Linked DNA regions of Daphnia pulex. The protein of the gene in region 1 purifies or fractionates together with the protein of each later gene. This does not show direct contact. Links are inferred from orthologs where the notes say so. Each region holds a gene or a part of one and is shown in the gene's direction. Other genes may lie near its edges. The genes, in order: ragulator complex protein LAMTOR2-like and sodium-coupled neutral amino acid transporter 9-like.

Evidence for each region.
Region 2: the proteins of ragulator complex protein LAMTOR2-like (region 1) and sodium-coupled neutral amino acid transporter 9-like purify together in Homo sapiens (co-immunoprecipitation; 5 studies listed by BioGRID and IntAct, with this or other methods). This does not show direct contact. The link is inferred for Daphnia pulex from reciprocal best matches to the Homo sapiens genes LAMTOR2 and SLC38A9.

Annotation. Positions count from the first base shown.
Region 1 is NC_060023.1:11,050,425-11,053,351, forward strand, and holds ragulator complex protein LAMTOR2-like, read left to right. Parts: upstream 1-1,365; 5' UTR 1,366-1,477; coding exon 1,478-1,545; intron 1,546-1,624; coding exon 1,625-1,660; intron 1,661-1,727; coding exon 1,728-1,854; intron 1,855-1,913; coding exon 1,914-2,060; 3' UTR 2,061-2,157; downstream 2,158-2,927. Other genes in the region: uracil-DNA glycosylase-like, read right to left, coding at 1-141, 239-327, 390-432, 506-656, 730-918, 981-1,109; BTB/POZ domain-containing protein KCTD5-like, read right to left, coding at 2,264-2,293, 2,353-2,472, 2,540-2,836, 2,896-2,927. UniProt on the Homo sapiens protein: As part of the Ragulator complex it is involved in amino acid sensing and activation of mTORC1, a signaling complex promoting cell growth in response to growth factors, energy levels, and amino acids.
Region 2 is NC_060019.1:7,950,055-7,954,583, reverse strand, and holds sodium-coupled neutral amino acid transporter 9-like, read left to right. Parts: upstream 1-1,669; 5' UTR 1,670-1,811; coding exon 1,812-1,894; intron 1,895-1,968; coding exon 1,969-2,188; intron 2,189-2,300; coding exon 2,301-2,395; intron 2,396-2,481; coding exon 2,482-2,639; intron 2,640-2,700; coding exon 2,701-2,868; intron 2,869-2,952; coding exon 2,953-3,021; intron 3,022-3,087; coding exon 3,088-3,491; intron 3,492-3,558; coding exon 3,559-3,663; intron 3,664-3,733; coding exon 3,734-3,972; intron 3,973-4,047; coding exon 4,048-4,225; 3' UTR 4,226-4,284; downstream 4,285-4,529. Other genes in the region: dynein axonemal intermediate chain 3-like, read right to left, coding at 4,303-4,497.

The DNA of each region.
Region 1 (2,927 bases):
CCCAAAGAAGGAAGACAACACCTTGGCAGTTACTGCTAATCCACTGGATCACGGCATCCGTCAGAGTTTCCCAGCCTTTGTCTTTGTGCGAATTTGCTGCGCCCGATCGGACCGTTAAGCCAGCGTTAAGAAGGAGCACACCTAAATATGTGAAATATCAATATAACAATTTTACGTGACTCTTATTTGAAGATTAAGACAAACGTTAAACTGTGATTGATTTTGTTTAAATGTCTACCTTGTTTGGCCCATCCAGTGAGATTACCATGTTTAGGAATATTAAAACCATCAATATCTGAAGCCAGCTCTTTAAAGATGTTTACCAAACTTCAAATAGTTTTGCAAAAATTAGACACAGTAGTTTTTAAAGTAAAAATTTTAAATATTACCTTGGGGGAGGAGGAACTCCTTTCAAAACACTGAAACACAAACCTTTTTATGAAACAAAAATGTAATGTCAATTCTTTATCTTAAAAGCCATAAAAGTAATTATTTTTTACTATACCATGAGCTTGACCAGGACCGTGATATGGATCTTGACCAATAATAACAACTTTGATATTTTGAATATCACAGAAATGGGTCCAAGACCACACAAGATGTTCTGGAGGGAAAATGGTGGACTTTGATCTTTCAGAACCCAGAAATTTACTAAGCTAAAAACAAAATAATGTAGGTAAATGAAAATAATTGTTATTCAAAGTTAAAAAAAAAGAAACATGTACATACTTCACCAAAGTAGGGTTTCTTAAACTCTGGCTCAATTGCTTGAAACCATGAATGACCAATACTATGGTGTAAGGCACAAGTATTCTTCGCTTGCAATTTTATTTTCGCTAACAAGTGGTTAGTGCCCATTCTTTCTTTTTTTTCAGGAGTAACTACTTCAGTCTTCTCACCAGATTTTTCTCCAACAGGCTAAAAATGAATAGACTTTACAAAAAATACCAGGCATGTATACACAGAACAAAAAAACCTACTTTGTTTTCAATTTGAACATTCTTGGCTTCAGCTGTCTTATTGCCAGACACAAGTTCTGAGAATGTACGCTTCACACCTCCACTTTGAAGAGGTTTAAAAAAATGAGTCAAAGGTTTTTGAGGCGGCATGATTTCTGACTTCAAGAAGCAACTTTAGTTCATTGTAATCATGATTGTAATTAAACACCAAAGTCAAAATAATCGGGCGCGAAATTCACCTTTGGACCAATCTGAAATGAATACATTAAGGCCACCTACAGCAGAAGAATTTGACAAGATTGAGTGAGAAAAAATTCCCTGGTCAACGGAAGGGGCGCTGCCGCTGCCGCTGCCTGAAGAAGAGATTGTCAGCCTGGCCTGGTTATGTAGGAAACATCCGCATTCATTTGTTTTTTTTTTTTTTAGTAAGAGACTAAGAGGAGTAGTGAACACTGAACAGCTGTACTCAGCCCTGACTCAGCTTGTGTCAAAACAGAAGATACCAACAAATCTAAAGAATGTTAAAACCAAAAGCTCTTACTCAAGTCTTGTCTCAAGCAAACACTGGCGGAATCTTAAGCACTTTGTAATATGGCGTGATACCTTAAAATAGTTAACGATTGTTAGTTATTTTTATTTATTTATTATCTTAATTTGTTATGCAGGCTTTTAAATACGGAGGGGGCGTTGCTAGCTTACAGGTGAGCAAAATGTGTTAAAATGTTTTACATTTGTTTATAGTGTTTAAACAATTTTGTGGCTTTCAAGTGGTTATGGGGACAAGGATGCACGAGTGACAGCAGCGATAGCTAGCAACATTTGGTCAGCATATGCTAAAAATGGGAAAGTTGCCTTCAATGAAGATGTCCTGGAATGTGTTCTTCTTGATTGCATGGTATTATTCAATTTAAAGTTTAGTAAACACAAATATTAATTTTGCCAATGCCTTTAAAGGATGGGAAAGTGGTGATTGCCCAAGTTGCTAATTTACTTCTATGTCTCTATGCTAAAGAAAATGTGTGTTTTGGAATGCTTCATGCTAAAGCAAAGGCATTGGCAGACTATCTTGATTCTCCTCTTCGTCAAGTAGCAGCATCATGAACATTTTTTTATAATACAAATTTGGATCTCCTAAAATTTAATGAAGCTGTGAAGCAGAGTTGTATTGCACTTGTGAATAAAAAGCAACACTTGTGAACAAGAAGTGTCAAAATGGCTGCAACGTGGATAAAATCCCACAAGGCTGGTTCTCTGCATAAATTTAGTTCAGTATTTGGTTCCTGGTACAAAAATCCCATAGCTTATTACATTCTTAACCCTTTCTGCTGAAGCACCTAAATAAAGAAACAACATTTTTAAATGCTTCCATCAATAGTAAATTGCAGATACTTACTTTGGCTCTATCAGTAGGCTCTGTTTCTCTTTCTCTCTTGTCACACTCTCTTGATACAACACACAGGAATTCTGAATGGTCTTCATTCCCATAAGAGTACTGTGACCCAACATTTATTAGCTATATAAAAAAAAGATTAGAATAAATAGTCTGTAGTAACTAATAAGATTGTCTTGTGTGTACACACCTGCTCAAATTTCCATCCATCAGACATAGTTGAAACCATTTGAGTTAATTCATCCTCATGACACTGTAATACACGGTAAACTTGCTTCCTACTTTCCTTCTGTGGTACCTCATCTCTTAGTCTTATTTTATCTCTAATTAACTGGATGAGTTCAGTAATATTATAGAATTCAGCTTCCTCTAGGATTCCTTCTTCAGCCAAGTTTTTATCAATAACTAGTTTGCTATGTCTCAAGAAGTTTAATATTGGTGAAAAATAAGTAGGGTCCCGATCAATCATGAAGGCACCTGTTTCATCCTAGTTTAAAATAAAGAGCATAATTTTCAAGTTAAAATTGAGGTTATATAAAGTAATACTTTATCTGAGGCAAGATTGTTGTCTTCTTGAC
Region 2 (4,529 bases), on another chromosome or scaffold:
TCGCACTGGGATTTCAATTCATCACCGAGTTGATATTTCTCAGCTGAAGCGTATACGGTATCAGTTTTACTTTCGAGCAACACGTTTTCTTCTGGTGGACTCGATGACCTTATTAGTGTTGCAGCCCTTACCATTATCCTCTTGTTAATCATTGTCAAAACCCTACCCGACCATCGACTTTACGACATTTCTGACCTTTAGGCCAACGACTCTCTTGTCCTTCCCTTATTTAGAAATGTGTAATGAAATCCGTTCCTCACAGTCCCTTATCTTGCTCCTCTAGGGTTTAACTAACATTCTTATTTCTTAAGGTCCGTGATCACTTCTCAGTTTGTCCTACATCTAGCGCAGTCATCGACGAATTCGGTACGCACAAAGCGGTCTACAAGAAAAAGTCCTGCATAACCGTAAATTGCATTTTTATATTTAAATAGTCAAAATTATTAAAATTTATGTAGTATTAGTTGAACTTAATTTAAAATAAGAAAATTATTATTTTGCTAACTGACAGATTTAACTGAGACAATGGTGTCTTCACTATGCATTTTCATTCTTTTGATTACTCTGTGGATGGTGTCGTATCCGGTTGAGGCCATTGATTGTTGCGAACCGCAATCCAGCGGCAACTGTTGGGATGAAACTCCGGGGGATCCTTGTTGTGGCTCCAGTGATTGTGACCAATTTTGCTGCAATTGCCGTGGAGGTTGTCGTGATTGGACGGTCCGAAAATCTAACGGAGAGCAGGAAACAACCCTTACGCAAAATATCTTTTTTAGATAATAGATAATGATAAGATTAAAAGTATCGATTTGGCCAACATTATTACCACATTTTAAAAAAATGTATCCCCATTCTTGTTTGTTCAGTAGACGCTTTTACTTGAATCATTGCTTGTTAACTTATTTAATACTAAATATATGATTCACCACGATTAACTGCATGTGACCGTATTTGTATTAAAAAGATGATAATGAGGCCTATGGGGCTCTTCGGGATCTGTTTTATTTAGCCGATTTATCTGGCAACGCAGCATGGCGCCAGTCTTTTTTGAGGGAAGAACGGGGAGAAGAGGGAGAATGGGAGGACGCCCTCCTCCCTCCCACTCGTCCCATTCTCCCTCTTCTCCCCGTTCTTCCCTCAAAAAAGACTGGCGCCATGCTGCGTTGCCAGATAAATCGGCTAAATAAAACAGATCCCGAAGAGCCCCATATACTGTTAATGGCGCACTTTCCATTATCATATCAACATCTGTTCTAAGACGGATCATTTGTTTTCTGACTAAAGCAAGTTAATCACGGCACGTGACGCAAGAAATCGAGAGTCTGGCATTATATTGAAAGCTGATGAAATGCATGTTGTATGCAACAAATTCCAATAACATATAAGAAAACGAGATGAAATTTTAATCCGCCCCATAGTTCTGTCACTTTGCGCTCGGTCATTGACCTACTAACTACTAGTACGTCTTTTTTTAAAAACCTTTTTTAAAAATACACCCAAAAAACAACACAGAAATTTTGTTGACAACTTTTTTGGAGGTCAAATTAAAATATAAAATACGATAAAATTATGTCTAGGTTTAACAAAGAAAAGATTTTGAGAATTGTTTTGTATTGTTGCATTCCAACGGACTAGCCGGTGCGATAAGGCTTCAGAAGGCTTCACATGTTTTGTAGACATCCGTCTGCTTGCTTGTCAAAGTTCTATGGGTCTCACGAAAACAAGTTCCTTCAAACTAGTCTTTGTTTACTTACCCGACCCATCGGTTGGCAACGAAGTTATCAGAATTAGTTCTATAATTAATTTAAACAATGAACAGAGATGTGGACGTCATATTACCAGATTCAGACGTAGCTAGTGAGGTGACACTAGATTCATCATCAGATCTTGGCAGGTAATAAAATGAATTTCTCGTTGCATATAATCAAATGTCGGCTAATTGGCAATTGCTTGTGTTTTAACCACCAGATCTTCGCCAACGTTAAGAGGAATACGAGTTCGGGATGCCAATTCAAAACAACGAACGAGACGTCCATTCCACTTACAGAGTACCATTGCAGCAAATCGTGCTGAATCCCCTGTCTTGATTGATGCTGTACCATACGATAATGCTCAGGAAGCTACTTACTCACGCTATAAATACTACCAGAGATTAAGAGGACCCACCATTGGAAATGATCAAGCATTGGTACAAACATTAGGTCTTTTTACATGAGACAAATAAGAGTTGCTGTCTCATGGTAGTATCTAGTTGGTTTTAGGATAATTCCTTTGATGGTTGTCAAAATTATTTTGTTTAGTTGATACCTGATCATGTTGTGCCATCCATCTTTTTCTACCCATACATTCCTGGCACAGTTCCTTTAACTGGCAAACAAAGCAGTTTAATAACTATGTAACTAAATCATTTTCCAACTTTTATTTTTTTATACAAGATAAAGCTTGTAATCAACATTCAATTCTTTTTTTAAATTTTTGTAGATTTGCAGTTTGGAACACAATGATGGGTACGTCGTTACTCTCAATGCCATGGGCTGTTGAGCAAGCAGGACTGGTAGCTGGATTGTCACTGATCCTTGTCATGGCAGCCATCTGCTTTTACACTGCCTTTTGTATCCTTCAAGTTTACGGCATCTACGGTATATTACTTTCGGTCATGGTATCTTTGAATGACGTAATTCAGTTTGGTTTTTATTGCAGGTGAGAAGGAAAATCTTGCGGACTTTCCAGATCTCTGCATGTTCCTGCTGGGGCGTGTCGGTCAATGGGTTTCCGTTCTCTTTTCGGCACTTTCATTACTTGGGGCAAGTGCGGTGTACTGGGTTCTCATGTCCAACTTCCTCTATCATACGGTCAAATACGTGTATGGTAAAGAACTTCAATTTTATACGATCTAAAATTTTGAACGGTCGAAAAAATCTTCAAAAATATATCATTTGTTTAATCAAACAGATCTGATTACGACGACGACGTCTGTTACCCTGTTGTCCGTGGACGATGACAATACTTCGGCGTTTAATCGTGAGTTTCAATAGGTTATGTTTATTTGTTCTTTTATTTACATTTTTTTTTTTTTACATTTAACAGTGTTTTGTCCGGATCCGATCGATAATCTGACTTTCTCGTCACTCCTGAATGGACCGATATTCCAGAATGGAGCTTCTACCTTTGACAAAATTTGGAATTTGGATCTGACTGTTCCTATTTACATGGCTCTCCTATTGCTGCCCCTAATCTGCCTAAAGTCAGCCACCTTTTTCACCAAGTTTAATGCACTGGGCACAGTCTCGGTATTCTACATCATGGCATTCGTTGTCACCAAAGCGTCCCAATGGGGAGTGCACGTCGAATTTAGCGACACTACTTCACCCTTCTACGTGCCTTTGTTGCGCTCCAACTTTCCGGCTTTGTCGGGCATGTTGTCCTTGGCGCTGTACTTGCACAATTGCGTCGTGAGCATCATGAAGAACAATCGGCGCCAAGAGTGCAACGTAATTTTTACATTTCTCTTTCTCATTTTGGCCTTACATTGAATAAAATTTTTCTTTTGTGTTTTAGGGCCGTGATTTGAGTATCGCCTACACCCTGGTAGCGCTGACTTATTTAGGTATCGGAGCAACTTTCTACCTCACATTTCCCCTCGAGAAGGATTGCATCGAAGACGTAATTGAAAATGATTCGTTCATTAAGATTTCGAGGAATTAATTTAATTTTTTTCTTTTGGGCTTTCTAGAATTTGTTGAACAATTTTTCGCGTTCGGATACGCTAACCGTTATAGCTCGCGTCTTTTTGCTCTTTCAAATGATGACGGTCTTTCCGTTACTCGCTTACATCCTGAGAACGCAGATTCTGTACGCTTTCTTTAATTCCATTTATCCCAGCTTTAACCACGTATTTTCTCTCAACGTGATATTGCTGTCCGTCTGCGTTGTATTCGCCATCTTCTTGCCGCAGGTCGGCACCATAACAAGGTACGCAAGTCGAATGAATTGATAACCGGGTTTCCCATCGCCGTGCTAATTGGTCGTTTATATTTACTCATCCAGATTCTCCGGCGCTTTGTGTGGTTTGGTCTACGTCTTCACACTACCCAGTATATTGTACGTCGTGTCTTACAGGAAGCAGAATAACGGCCGAGCTCCGGCATGGGTGTATATTGTGCACGGTTTTATTATGTTGTGTGGTCTACTAAATTTAATTGCCCAATTTGTCGTCACCAATTGATGGCCGCTACGCTTAGACAGGTCGGTTCCGATTTCAATATATAACGTTCTCGTATCGTTTATTTTTCACGTTCTCTTTCAAACATCACCGACATCTTTGAGAATCTTTTTCTCGAGAATCTTGAAATCTTCCATGTACGCCTCGCGATTGCTGTAGATTAATGGGGATTCAGGCAGGTGGAGCTGTGGGGCAACTGGGGCGGGTTGCAACATTTGGGCCATGGACAAACGGTGATGTACTTCACTATCCATAAATTTCTCAACTCTTGTGAGCTAATTTAAAAAGTAGAACAGTCACAGATTTG